Linked DNA regions of Tamandua tetradactyla. The protein of the gene in region 1 purifies or fractionates together with the protein of each later gene. This does not show direct contact. Links are inferred from orthologs where the notes say so. Each region holds a gene or a part of one and is shown on either strand. Other genes may lie near its edges.

Region 1 (7,065 bases):
GTTCCACAGGAGACTAGGGGTGGGGTTGTCATATTATTCTGAAGTCCCATTGCTCATTATATACTTGGAGGAACTGAGTGTGGGGACATGAATGGACATTTGCACAATAGGGTTTATGGTGGCAGTGTTCATGATCCACAAGTAATGGAGATAGCCTAAGGGTACAACAACTGAGGAAGGAAAGGGCAACCAAACTGTGGTGTATACATACAATGGACTACTGAGCAGCCCCAAGAAAGAATGACATTATGAGGTAGGCAACTAGGTATATGAACCTTAAGGACTGTATGTTGAATGAAATGTCAGAAACAAAAAGTCAAATATTATCATGCCTCACTCATATGGACTTCATCCTGTACTCCTCTATCACATGGTGGCCAGCCTCTCCCGGCCTCATCCTTCTCTTCTGGTTTCTGTTGGATTTCGGGTTCTGGCTGCTCCCTCTATGACTTTTCTCTCCCTGAATTTCATTCTGCTTTTAAAGGACTCCAGTACTGGGATGAAGGTACCTCCTCATTGAGGTGGGCCACACCTTAACTGAAGTAACCTCATCAAAAAATCTGACAATATGTTCATGCCCACAGCAATGGATTAAGTTAAAGAACATGTTCTTATCTGAGGTACATAGATCCAAATATACCTATACTGTGTAAAGAGTAAAAAAGTATGAAAAGAGGGTAGGGAAGAATGAAATGGAAGCAGAGAAGCATAGACTGGAAAATTAATGGAAATTTTGACATGGGATCAGTCAGTAGTTTAATATGTATGTTGAACTAATCATTTGACTCCCATAGATTAAAATATATTCATTTATAAAATGAGTGTTGGATTAGATGATTAAGTTAACAACAAATCCTAATTTTCTTCCATCCTAAGAATTAGTAAAACTAAACAAAAAATATTAACTTTGAATTTTTGATTCAGAGGTGTGTGTATGTGTGTGTTTGAAAGTGGTATGCTCTATATGTGCAAATACATTTGTCTTCTTAAGAAAAATATGCTTAATTTACAAAGTACATTTTGCAAGTATCCTGTAGGTTTGAAATGGTGCAATAAAGTTATAGTAAATACATAACATTAAAATAGCTTGTGATACACTGGAGAAAAAGGTATCAATAAAAATCACATTGTAGAGCACATATGGTAATACTACAAAAAGATTCATAATTTTAAAAGTATAACAATTTTTTCAAGATGTTTCATTTTCTTATTCTGATTTGCTCTCTTCTATTGGTTAGTCTGTTAATTCTAACCAAAAAGCCAGGAAGTTTTTAATGGGCTGATATGAAATGGATTTTATTAATTCAACCCTCTATAAGCATTCTCATGCATCATTAACATTATACACTGCAAGGTACTGCTTTCCTTAAATTGCAGATCTTCAGATACAAATTTGAGATTGTAGTAAATAATTGACTAGTGAATGAACACTTGTAGTATGTGCACAGATGAGTTGTATGAAGTCTTTAATTAGGATATACATCTTAAAATGGCTCATTAAATCACAGAACACAAAAAAGCCATTGGAATTTGAATGATTTAAGGAGTGTGATCAGAATTTGATGAAACTACAATGTGAAATATTTAATTTTGATATTTCAAGTTCATTAGAATTATATCTCTATTGAGTATTCTAAATGTCCTATATACATTAGGCAAATATAATAACATTTAATTAAGAAGTTCTATACTGTTGTAATATCCTTTGGAATAGCAAAGAATGTGACTAATAAAATTGAATGATCATTTCCAAAAAAAAAAAAAAAAAAGAGTATGTATGGTTCTAAAATATAGATACTGTCTTCCTTATCCCTGTGTTCTGAATTACTTTAACCCCAACCTGTTTGGCTTCATTCTTATCTCTAAAAATCAGGTTATATATATATAAAACAGCCTCTCAAAATCCAGAAATAATATTCACCACTCTGGACTTAATGTGTTTGCTCTAAAAGCTTACAATCTAGGACCCTGTTTTCTCATAAGCATTTTATATAGGTGACCATACCATTGTTATTTTTTTGTTTCTGGCTTATTTTGTCTCACCAAATGTCCCACATGTTCATTCACATCATTGCATGCCTCACAACAGTGTTCCTTTCTGTAGCAGCACAACTTTCATTCACATGTATACACCATTGTTCACCAATCTACTTCTCAGTCAGTGCATCCTAAGCCACCTGCATTCACTGGGCATCATGTAGTGGTCCCAAAGTCCACAGTCCATCAACAGTCTAAATTTTAGATAATTTCAATGTTCCTTTATGCTGGTCATAAAAGTGGAATCATAGAGTATCTGTCCTTTCATGTCTGGCTAATTTTGCTCAGCATTATGTCCTCAAGGCTCATCCATTTTGTCATGTGCCTCAGGATGTCAGTTTGTCTTACTTCTGCATAATATTCCATCATATGTATGTATATACCACGCTTGGTTGACCTACTCATCTGTTGATGGGCATTTCCCTACATTTTCTTCTAGAAGTTTTATGGTGCTGGTTCTTATATTTAGGTGTTTGATCCACTTTGAGTTAATTTTTGTGTAGCGTGTAAGATAGGGGTCCTCTTTCATTCTTTTGGCTATTGATATCCACTTCTTCCAGGTGGTAACATTTTAAGCTAAGTGTAATTAACAGCATCAAACTATGCATGTGATTGTGGCTGAAAGAGAAAGGTTAGAGTTGTGTATGTCACTAGAAGGAAAGCTAGAGGAAAAACATGGGACTGTATAACACAGTGAACCTTGTGGTGGATAATGACTGTAATTAATAGTACAAGTATGAAAATGTTCCTTAATGAACATTTAAATTGTTCAATAACAAATATACATCATATTTCAAGGATTTAATAACAGTGGAATATGAAGAAAATGCATCTATTGTAAACTATGGACTACAGTTAATAGTAATATTTTAATATTCTTTCATCAATAATGAAAGTATCACACCAATGCTAGGGGTCAATAAAAGGGATGGGGATAAGGGGTATTGGATGTTTTGGTGTTTTTGTTTTGTAGTAATGAAAACGTTCTAAAATTGATCGTGATGATGAATGCGATGTGATGATACTGTGAGTCATTGATTTTTATACTTTGGATGGATTGTATGGTGTGTGGATGTATCTCAATAAAACTATGCACAAAAAAAGAGTGCAGTTTTAATTACTATTCATGTCTTAGAAAGAGAAATATCAGAAATAACGATTTTGAAATCTTGCCTTCCACAAAATACACAGGGTTTGTTTCTTCTAATTTTGTTTTTGTTTTAAAGACTAAAAATAATGTAAAAAAAAAAGTGCGCATCATAAAGTAGTCACACAATAAATGGTAGCTACACATTGTGAAAATAGAATGGTTAATAGTTTCACTAATCAACTTGATATGTTTAAAGTTCTTTTTATCCAGGGAACTACAAAGAAGAAACAGAACAACTGAGTCAGGTTGACATACCAACAATCTTTCATTGTCCTAAAACCTCTGCCCCTTCAGAGAAGAAACAAGTCATGCTGACCTCAACAAACTTGCTTATCTTCACTGGATAGCTCCGCTGCTGCAAAGACATCCTGCCTGTCCAAGTTGCAAAATTAATGAAACATGGCCCAAGGACACCCTGTGCCAGGCAACTCGCGTAGCTCACTCTTTCTTGCTCCCCCTCTCCATTCCCATACGCTCCTTTTGTTCCTAGCAGCCACATATACTGTCTGCCCAAAATTGCCTTTTAATCGGTAACCTTTTGTTGCTGTTGTGCATTAAAGCTACTTAAGTTCAATGAACTTCTATACTTTGGTTTTCAGAGTCTGTTTCTAGCAAAACACTGTCCCTTCTTGAGGACGAGGAGCACATATTTTGTACCCCCTCCAAAGGCCCAGTACATAGTCAGCAATCATACAAATATTTATTAAATGAAAGGATGAATGAATGAAATGAGTCCTACACTGTTTTCAATCCGTGGCCAAACTCTGGAGCCTCGCGCTGCCAGTTAAGACTGACGCTAACTAGTCCACAGTACTAAACTACAATTCCCAGCATGCAGTCAAACTCCGTTGTCGCAGTGCATCTTGGGAACGAAGTCTCCAGCTCTCCATTGGCCAAGTTGCAGAAGCGGACTTGTTTGTGGAAATGCGCGGGGTCTAGCGAACACTCGCACGGAGACTGCGCAGATCTTCTCCTCACCTGAGTTTCACGGACTTGATTTTGAATAGTCAGGAGTTTAGCCGGTAGGATTTAAGAGGAGTTCAACTTCCGGGGTCACAGGAAGCAATTTAAAGATGGCGTCTTCCTCGGTAAATGGGTCAGCTACAACGTCTGGGAGATCTGAATTTCGAAACCAGAAGCTGAAGCCGGAGGACCGAGGTGAGATTGTATGTAAGGGTGAAGTTTGGAGTCTGTGGGCGTTGAGCTGCGATTTTTTTTTCTTTTGCTGAGTGAGCATTGTATAGTTGCCTTCGGTCTGTTCTGTGGGATCGAGAACCTTGGAATACTGATGATTGGGGAACTGGCTGGGTCCACAGAAACGATTGAGATGGCCGGTGTGGTGCCTCCACGTGTACCTAACTCGTTGCTTTTGTTAGCTATCCGCCATAGTGAAGGTGGTGAATTCTTTCTCCTGTAAAAAGGTCAAGACAAGAACTGCGGAGGGCACTACGGGAGTTTACAGCGCGACGGTGGCTGGAGGTCGTGGACAGCATGAAGGGTGGGTCCTTCTGTGTGGGAATGAACGATCGTGATTGAAGGAGACAGACAAGGATATGGGGAAGGAGATGTCTGGCGTGTTCTCAGCTCTGCTTTATCAACCACTGAAGAAATTTGGAACATTTATCATTCCATTAAATCGTTTATCAGATTGCTAAAACATTAGACCTCGGAACTTCTACTCTTAAGACTGCCCCACTTTTCATTTGTTCTTCTGCTTGTAGTCTTGTTATATATATATATATTTGTATGAGTTACAGGGGGAGTGGCTAGAGAAGTAGCCCGGGTCCTACTCAGGTAGGCTTATAGGTTAAAGACCTTGGACTCTCATTCTAGGGATATTGGAGATATAGTAAAAGCTTTGTTCGGTTGTTGCTGCTTTTTGTTTTTTCTCTAAGTATAATATCCGTGGCAGAGAGTTCAGTACATTTATTTGTGAAACAGTAAAACGAACACGTTGAGATACCAGCAGCTACTCCCTTAAGTAGAACGGTAGACTACTACCATAGCCTAAAAAAGCCCACCGTGTGCACCTCCCAGATCACATTCTTTTCCTTTCCGGGACTAGAAGTAACCATTCTTTGAGTCGTACTGGTCATTCTCTTGCTTGTCTTCATAATTTACTTCATAATCTACTAAAAAAAATTGGTTTTCTTTGTTTTTAAATTGTTTCTGAATGAAAGGAGACTGTATGCTTTCTCCTGCGTCTTGCTTCTTAGGCTTAACTTTGTTTCTGCTGCTCAACCAGGACTATACCTGTAATTAGTTATTTTACTTATGGTATCCTGTTCTCTTGAGTGGGTATACCCTTCATTCTATCATTGGTGGCCATTTAGATTGTTTACATGGTTATTATAAACAGTGCGGCTGTTTATACAGTGTAAAACTGTCTCCTGGTACATATATTCTAGAGTCTCTCTAGGTTGTATACCTGCGAGTAGAATCTCTGGAGTGTAGGGTATTTGCAGGTAATGCTAAATCTTTTCCAAAGAGGTTGCAACAGTTTACACAATTTACTGGCAGTGATGAGACTTCCCATTACTCCACATCCTCAGTAAAACTTGATATTATCTGAATTTTGAATTTCTGTCATTTTGGTAAGTATGAAATGGTATTTGTTTACTTTTGTTTTTGTATGCTGTATGGCAGGGTCATGTTTCATTACTTTTCCCTGTGAGTATCCCGTTATTGCAGCACCATTTGCTGAATTTGTATTTGTGTTTGTTTTGCTTGTTAGTTTGTTTTTGGGGCAGTGCGTGGGCCCAGAATTGATCCCGGATATCCTGCATGGCAGGCAAGAATTTTACCACTGAACTACCTTTGCACCCCATTTGATTGAAATTTCAATTTGACCTTTCTTGATTTTTATTAAAGTTGTGCATCGTTTCATATACTTTAGGCTATTTATGCTTTCTCTATTGTGTAGTTCTTGTTTCTTTTGCCAGGTTTTTAGGGGGTGGGTTATGCATATTTTTCTTATTGATGCATAACCAATTGACATGCTTTAATTAGGTAGATAAATTACTTAAATTAAGTTACAGCTTTTTTGAATATTGCGTTTTTTAGAGTACTGGGTTGTGAATGGTATATGTGTAGACAAACTAATTTTCTGTGATTTGAACCAGAAATAGCAAAGTGGATGTGTGTACAAGAGACGGAAAGCACATTATGTTTACTCAATTAAAGTAGATAACATAGGTTAAAGCCCTGCCTCTTAAACTTTCCTGTACATACGAAGCTCTTGACTAGATTGTTAAAACACAGATTACCTAGAGATTTTGATTTGGTAATCTATGGTAGGGTCAAGAATTGCATGGCTTTTAAGTTCCCAGTTGATGCTGATGATAAAGGACTATAGATCATACTTTTGAGTAGTACTGGATTAGAGTTGTTGGATTCAAGACATTCTTAAAATCCAGGTCCAGGAGTTTTAGTAAATGATGTGGGAGATAATTTATGGCATATACCAAATGATACGGATACAAGGAATTTAGTTTTAGGTGACTGAAATGTATACAGATACTTTTAAATACTATGTGGATGATAATGACTGAGATATGTATTTTGTTGAATAATATAAAAAGGGAGGGGAAAGAAATCCAAGTTTGGGGAAACTTTTGAAAATTGTTCAAATAACCCTTAAAATGTGATATGTGAATTTTCCCCCTCTCTAGATGAATCAGAACTCCTCACTGTTCCTGATGGTTGGAAGGAACCAGCCTTTTCCAAAGAGGATAATCCCAGAGGACTCTTGGAGGAAAGCAGTTTTGCAACTTTGTTCCCAAAATATAGGGAGGCTTACTTGAAAGAATGCTGGCCATTGGTGCAGAAAGCCTTGAATGAACATGTATGCATATTTTATTAATTTCTTTGAAATTTTT
Region 2 (7,775 bases), on another chromosome or scaffold:
GATATCCTGTGTACATAAAGAAACTGTACAACTCAAAGACAAAAGATCTAACAACCCAATTTTAAAATGGGCAGAGGATATGAACAGACACTTTTCTAAAGAGCAAGTACAGATGGCTATAAAGCACATGAAAAGATGCTCATCTTCATTAGCTATAATGGAAATGCAGATCAAGACAACAACGAGATACTACCTCACACCTATAAGAATGGCTGCTATTAAACAAACAGAAAACTACAAATGCTGGACAGGACGTGGAGAAATAGGAACACTTGTCACTGGTGGTGAGAATGTGCAACGGTGCAGTCACTGTGGGAGACAGTTGGGCGATTCCTCAGAAAACTAAATACTGAGTTGCCCTATGCCAGCAATATCAATACTTGGTATATATATACCTAGAAGAGTCGAGGGCAGTGACACGAGCAGACAAGTGCTCACTGATGTTCATAGTGGCATTATTCACGATTGCCAAGAGAGGGAAACAATCCAAGTGCCCATCCACAGACGAGTGTACAAACAAAATGTGGTATATACATACAATGGAATATTATGCAGCAGTAAGATGAAATGATGTCCTGAAGCACATGACAACGTGGATGAACCTCGAGGAAATAATGCTAAGTGAAATAAGTCAGTCACAAAAGACTGATACTGATGATTTCATTATTATGAATCTAGTAAAGGTAATCTCAGAATATAGTAGAACTAGACGTATACAAAAGCTCAAGGGGGGAAAGGGACCCAGTGAGGTTGAATCTAAATGCAAGGGAACCGAGAGAAGTGATGATAACTAATTAGCAGGTTTATAAGTGACATTGCCATAGTGTAGGTGAATATGATTGAAAGGCAATAAATAATGCCACGTATTCCAATGATTAAATTTACAATTATAAATAAATCCTCACATGAAGTATTTCAATAGTTCCATAGTGGACAAAAAATCAAGATTAGAGGGATAAAGGGGAGAAACTACAAATGCATGCTATGCCCAATAATTAACAGGAAGACATCAATAGTACCAGAGTAATACCAGGGCAACTCACTGGGGTGGGGAGGCGTGGGGACAAGAGGTAAGGGTTAGTTTTGATTCGACAGTTGGTGACGTTATGTTTGCCAGTTCTTTTTCATTATGGACCAATGACAACTGTTTAAAATTGAAAGTGCTGCTGATTACACAACCAAATGAAGATACTGTAAGATACGGTTTATTTATTTTGAACATTATCCATGATACCCAAAAGATGGCAAAGGCTCCACTGACTGAGGAAGCACAGTGGTGGATGGTGGGTGATACATCTGTCTATATGATGGAATTTGGCGCGGCTACAAAAAGGAGGGACATTGGGGCACACGGTGAGCTGAATAAACCTTGGGGACAACGTGCTTTGCAAAATAAACCAAACAAAAGAACAAATAAGCTGAAGTCTCTCTCAGAAAAAATTAAAAAGAAAAAAGAATTCCAAATTGGGGAATTCCCTCAGAAGTTCACAGTGACCAAGTCATCTATTTTATAGGACAAATTATGAAAACAATATGCAAAATATGACCTATTTCACAACATCCTCATTGTACCTATCAACCACAATCCTAAGGCTTAAACAGAAAGAACCAAAGGTGTAATTAAAACTCAATGAGCTGAATTCATGGAAATCTTCAATCTACCATGGCCAAAAGCTTTACCTATAGTTTTACTACATCTAAGATCCACTTCTTTTGGAAAACATAAGCTATCCCCATTTAAAATTATAACAGGAGACCTAAGAAAATAAATTCTGGAATATATGAGCCTTGCCTCATAAAAGGAAATATGCTAACCTGGTTGTCAAGAACTAACCAAAACCTTAAAGAAAAACGAAACCCTAGTCAAACTATCTTTTACAGCATGCTGAAAAAGATGTTCAAAACTGTAATCATCAGCCTGGTGACTTCACATATAGGAAAAGATACCTCCAGATGTCTCTTAAAGACGCACTCCAACCTTGCTGGATGGGGCCCTGTCAGGTACTTTAACTAACCCATGTGTAGCTTAAATTAGACGGCACTGATTGTTGGATTCATACTTCTCATTTACAGAAAACCTCCCAGCCCTGCCTGAAATCCATTCCTACTAGGGACCTAAAGCTTGAAATGACCAAGGATGAGAAGCTGATGGTATCTAATGCAGACAGCTATCCCAAGGCCTGGGACCAGGACTGTGTAATTAATACTTTATCAGTGATCTCAGACTTAAGTTACCCAGAAGTACAACACATCTGTTATGATCCGCTAGCCCAGGAACCAGGACCGGACCTCATGTTCATCAGATTGAACGAACTCGATGATGCTACTATACCCTCCTATTAGCCTAGTAGCTCTCTTCTTTGCATTTCTATTCCTCCCCTCTCCCCACCTTCTTTGTACCCCAGTCCATATCTGTCTCTCCCGCAATGAATCCTACCCCTTGAAACTTCTCATTCTCACCCTCTTCTTTCCTGTTCATTGCCATTCATCCTTTTATCCCAGCCATATTAAGTGCTGCTGACCTAGCGATCCTATCAAATTGCTGGGACTATGCTAACTTAGAGTCCACAGAAGGGCCTCAGTTATTAGCCACACTCACAGTCACTTATTTAACTGGCCAAATCTTAGATCTCGAGGAAATTAGGTATGTAACATATTTTAAACCCTGTAATCTGTTTTATTTTATAGTCGTTATGATGTCTCATTCACCATCTCATCTCTAACAACCACCTCCTGAGTTATGCTAATCAGTAAAAGCTTTGAGCGTAAAGCTTCCTTACTTATAAAACTTATTTCTGTAATGATAAGACTAAGCCTAGTTCTAACTAATGCCTAAGAGTCACCCCCTGACAACTTCCTTGTTGCGCAAATGTGCCCCACCCCCACCCCCCACTCATACACAAGCCAAACTGCAAACAAACTCACTACCTTCCTTCCACTTCGGGGGGACACGACTCCCAAGGATGAGCTTCCTCGGCGCTGAGGGATTAATACCAAATGTTGATTGGCGATGCTTTTAGAGAAAGATGCTGATCAAAAAGGAGAAATATTAAAAGAAATAAACCAAAATAGAGTTTCCATGGCTAAGGGATTTAAAATGGAGCCAAGAGATCATTCTAGAAGTTACTCTTATGCAGGTCTCAGCCAGAGGTCACAAACTACCAAAGTATGCAATGCCTCAAGCAACAGTGTTCCTCAAAACCCCAAGGACAACTGAACCATAAACTAAATCACAATATAAAAAACTCCATTAAGTATCACACCTGAAGGACAACCAGAGTACCCCAAATATCCACCAACCACAAACAACTTGTGTAACCTTTTTCTTAAAAAACCCTTGCCTAAAAATGTCAAGACAGACACAATTTGGGTTGCTACCTGAATCTGTGCTCCCCGAATTCCAATTCTAAGACCCTTAATAAATGCCATTGTTGTCTTGCAGCTTAGTTTGACATTTTTTAGACAAATGCATGCATTCCTCCTTTCCTGAAACTCTCAAGGGGTAAAGCCACCCTTATGAAAGTGCAACTGTCATTGTGAAGCAAGCAGAAGCACACGTATCAAGTAAACAGAACTATTAAAATTTAGGAAGATCTCTGCAACTGAAGTGTAGGCTGCAGCTAATTTGACAGGACGGTTGGAGAAGGAAAACCTTAAAAGGTAAGACAGAAAAGGCTGGGCACAGATTCCGAAGCACTAGGGAGATAAGCACTTGGTATTATGGGCAGTTCAGTCGCAACTCCCTAACCTGTAAAGCTTTCAAGTGAGAGACACTTAAGGAACGGCGTGCGCAGGTGCCGTTCTCCCAGCTGCTCGTTTACCATCAGAACGCCTCGGCCCCTGCAGCTTTCCCAATCGCGCCCAGGTGGAAGCGCACGCGGTGGCGGCGGCGGCGGCCCAGCGGCCTTCCCCGCCCGCCCGCCGGTGCGCACCGTCGGAGCCGCTCACCTTCGTCGCCTTCCTCTTCCCGAAGCCCCCAAGCACCAGGGCATGGGCTGGCGGCCCAGATGCCTCACCCGGGGGGCCTCCGCCTCGGGCCTCCGCCGCCACCGGTGCCTCCGTAGGACTCTCCTCTGGCGTCCCGTCACTATACGCTGCGCGACAGAGAAGGGGCCAGGCCCGAGGGTCAAGCCGTTCCGGACTCGGGCCTCCCAGGGGTCGGTCCTGCTCCAGAGGCGACCTGCCCCGCCGCCGGCCCGGTCTCACCTGCGTCGGCGTCCTCGGCGTCCGCTCTCTGCCGCTTCTTTCGCGGCGCGTCTGCGGTCCCCGTCCCCACGCTGCTCACTCGCCGCCGCCGCCGCCGCGGCCTCCGCCGCCGCTTCCCCGCCGCGGCCTCCGCTGCCTGCGCCGCCGCCTCGGGAGGCGGACTTTCCTGCCTCTGCTGCCGCTGCTGCCGTTCGCGGGCCCGACACTGCAGCCGCTCCAACAGCGCGCGGGCCCGGCCCACCGACTCTGCCGGCGCGGGCCACGCTGCCTCGGGCCCCACATACCGGGCGACGTGAAAGAGGGCCATGGCCGGCCGGGTGCCCGGGACTCCGCACCGAACCTGACGTCACGTGCGCGCCGGGCGGCTTCTGTGGCGGCGGCGACCGGGAGCCGGCAGAGGCACACGGCGGTGACGTCACGCGCGCGCCGGCGGGGAGCCGACAGAGGCACACGGCGTTGACGTCACGCGCGCGCCGGCGGGGAGCCGGCAGAGGCACACGGCGGTGACGTCACGCGCGCGCCGGCGGCGAGGCTGTCGGGACGGTGACGTCTCGCGTGCGGCGTGGTCCCGGAGACTCCTCTTGGGTTGGCGGCGGCGGCATGGAGCGGGATCCCGGCACCGGGTCCGTGGGCCGGGCTCTGGGCCGCCTGCTGGAGGCGGTGCTGGCGAGCCGCGGCGAGGCCAACGCGGTGTTCGACATCTTGGCCGCGCTGCAGGTGCGTCGGGTTGGAGGCGGGCGCGGCGGGCGGGCGACCCGGACGGCCAGGAGTCGTGGGGTCTGGCGGCTCCGGTGTCTGGGCCCGCGATCGGGACGCATGCACTCCTGTGCGGGGTCCACATTGGGGCTGGGGCTGCGGGGGTTCTGAGGCCTGGACTGGGCGGGGTGCCAGAGTGGGGGACCCCTCGGGTTCCCGCGAGCGGTTGCGGCGTCAGGTTCCGGGCAAGGTCGGGTAGGGGGCAGTTCTAAAGTGCGGCTTGGGGATCAGAGAATCCCCCGGAGATTTGAGAGGCTGGGCTGTGGGATGTGTCCGGGAAGCTTGGGAGGATGGGCCCGATGTGAGTGGCGGCTCAGTGGGGCCGGGGTAGGGTCTAGCCAGGCGCCTTGTGACTGTGTCTCCCTGTAGTCCAAGGACCAGGAGGACGTCCAGGAAGCAGTGCGCACGTGCAGCCGTCTCTTCGGGGCCTTGCTGGAGCGGGGAGAGCTGTTTGTGGGCAGGCTGCCCTCTGAGGAGCTGGTCATGGCAGGTACCCCAGGCACTCTCGGGGGTAGGGGGTGACTTTGTCCATGAGGGGTGAGTGCCCCAAATTCCCTTTGTAGGGCCAGCAGGCTTGTGGGAAGGGGCTGGTTCTGTCATCCTCCGGTGGGGGGGGGGGGGGGGGGTGTAACACAGATACTTCCATAGCCAGGTTTGAGTATTGAAAACGTTTGCCTTATTCCTTGCGTTTTGTACACTCGTGTGATTTGAGGCTGTGTAACACTGACGTTCCGATCCTTGAAAATCTAGGTTTGGGGGTAAAAGGAAGGGATGAGATACCGTGCCTTTGGGGGCTTGCCTGGGTACAGTGCCAGGGCAGGAGCTGCTCTCCCTGTTTGCAGGGCTGAGGCAGCCTCTGGGGAGAGTCAGGCCCAGTCAGCCTAGTGCCAAAGGTCTAGCCTGTCTCCAGGTTTGGGGGCCCTGCTGACTTGTTTTACTGATCCGGCTGATCCTGTAGATGGCACCAGCTACATTGGGGGTGCCAGATGAAGGGTGGTTTGGGCCTGGGCTGGGCCCAGCCTGGCACATGTGGCCATAGTATGGCTGACCACACTGCCTCATCTGCAGGGTCTCAGGGAGCCACACGCAAGTACAAGATGTGGATGAGGCACCGCTATCACAGCTGCTGCAACCGCCTGGGGGAGCTCCTGGCCCACCCCTCCTTTCAGGTCAAGGTGAGTCTTGGATCTTTGGGCCCATCCTGCATCCCACCCCCACACCGAAGCAGAGGCTTGGAACCCTGCAGAGGCCACAGAGGTGACACAACTTGCTCATGAACACATGACTGGTGGAGTAAGGGTTTGCATCCATCTTCTCTCACTCACGCCCTGGCCCAGTCATGGGGGCTCCGTGGCTGGACCGGCTGTTTGGGGCCTGGTCTGTGGGTGGGAGGGGGCTCCCTGGCTGACAGGCACTCCTTCCTCCCAGGAGCTCGCCCTTGGAACGCTCATGAAATTTGTGCAGCTGGAAGGAAAGCACCCCTTGGAGAAACCCAAGTGGGAGGGCCAGTACCTGTTCCCCCGAGAGGTCTTCAAGGTGAGGGGCTGGGCAGGAGCAAGCCACAAGCTGCTCGGGTCAGTCCCTGGCTGGCCTTGAACCGAGCAAATGGTTGTTGGATGGGATGGTTCTGCCTTGGCCAGGACCCCTATGTGGGGTCTCCTCAGGCAGTATCTTAGTGGTGAGGTGGGATTTTCCTGCCCAGGGCTCTGACCGCGCTCCCAAATTGTCCTCTGAGCCCTCGCCCTGTTCTGCTCCCTGGGCTGGGGCCCATGCACGGTGGGGAGAGTGCTCACCTGCTGTGCCCTGTACCCAGCTGGTGGTGGAAGGCCTGCTCCCCCCCGGGGAGGACAGTGCCCTGCTGCTCTCCCAGTTCCGGGAGTTCCTGGAATACGACGACATACGCTACCACACAATGCAGGCGGCTGTGGACACCATGGCCAGGGTCGCTGACAGGCACCCCGAGGTCAGTGGGCTGAGTTTGATCTCCCGGTGTGGGGAATGGGGGGGTAAACGAGGAGGGGTGCAGCCTCCCAGTGCTCAGGCCAGTCGTCCCCTGCAGGTGCCCCTCCCTTTCTGGAACAATGCCTTTGCACTGCTGTCTGCCGTGAGCCTGCCTCTCCAGGAGAGCCGCACCTGCAGTTTCTACGTGAAGCACGTAGGTAAGTGTCCAGGCAGTGCAGGGAGCCTGGCCTGGGCCTAACCCTGCAGGAGAGGCTGGGGACCACTACCACACCCCGTCAGCCCTGCTGGGGCCCAAGTGGTGATCCCCTCCCACCCTCCATGCAGGCAGTAATCCTTCTCACCCCCTTTCACGCAGAGCCCTCGGACAAGTGGAAAGTGACCCATCTGAAGGTGAGCAGTTCTGGAGGGGCCAGCAGCCTCTGCCTGCCTGGACAAGATCTCCAGCCCAGGCTGAGTCATGCTGGCTTGCAGGAGGACTGCCACCTCCTGCCCCTGCACAGAAAACTCCCAGGCAGGGGCCACGGTTGGAGTTACCAGCAGGGCCCCCAGGAAGATGTGGGGGGGGCCAATGGCAGTCACCTGCGGTCCTGGGCATCTGCAGGAGTGGCCCCGAGGGAACTGCTTCCCTCACGGCTGTAAACCCACTGTGCCACCTCACCTGCTGCAGCCCCTGTAGGGTGGGGTCTCCTTGACTTCCTGAGGTAGGGAGTGGGGCCTAGACTTCCAAAGTCAAATGTGGAATTCTTCCAGTTCAAAGGGCCCGAGAAGCTCCTCCCTAAGCCTGGGAAGGAAGGGGAGGGGTACCAGGTGCAGTGGAAGGGGTGCTGCTGCTGTCCCCCCACTGGGGCTCG

Evidence for each region. The genes of interacting proteins can lie anywhere in the genome.
Region 2: the proteins of KRR1 (region 1) and NOC4L purify together in Homo sapiens (co-immunoprecipitation; 3 studies listed by BioGRID and IntAct, with this or other methods). This does not show direct contact. The link is inferred for Tamandua tetradactyla from reciprocal best matches to the Homo sapiens genes KRR1 and NOC4L.

Annotation. Positions count from the first base shown.
Region 1 is NC_135333.1:144,335,056-144,342,120, reverse strand, and holds the start of KRR1 (KRR1 small subunit processome component homolog), read left to right. Parts: upstream 1-4,037; 5' UTR 4,038-4,260; coding exon 4,261-4,345; intron 4,346-4,608; exon of another isoform or gene 4,609-4,678; coding exon of another isoform or gene 4,679-4,685; intron 4,686-6,858; coding exon 6,859-7,031; intron 7,032-7,065. UniProt on the Homo sapiens protein: Part of the small subunit (SSU) processome, first precursor of the small eukaryotic ribosomal subunit.
Region 2 is NC_135331.1:1,481,462-1,489,236, reverse strand, and holds the start of NOC4L (nucleolar complex protein 4 homolog), read left to right. Parts: upstream 1-4,736; 5' UTR 4,737-4,806; coding exon 4,807-4,923; intron 4,924-5,331; coding exon 5,332-5,452; intron 5,453-6,030; coding exon 6,031-6,137; intron 6,138-6,390; coding exon 6,391-6,498; intron 6,499-6,775; coding exon 6,776-6,925; intron 6,926-7,021; coding exon 7,022-7,121; intron 7,122-7,279; coding exon 7,280-7,314; intron 7,315-7,775. Other genes in the region: ATP-dependent RNA helicase DDX51, read right to left, coding at 3,949-4,094, 4,207-4,513.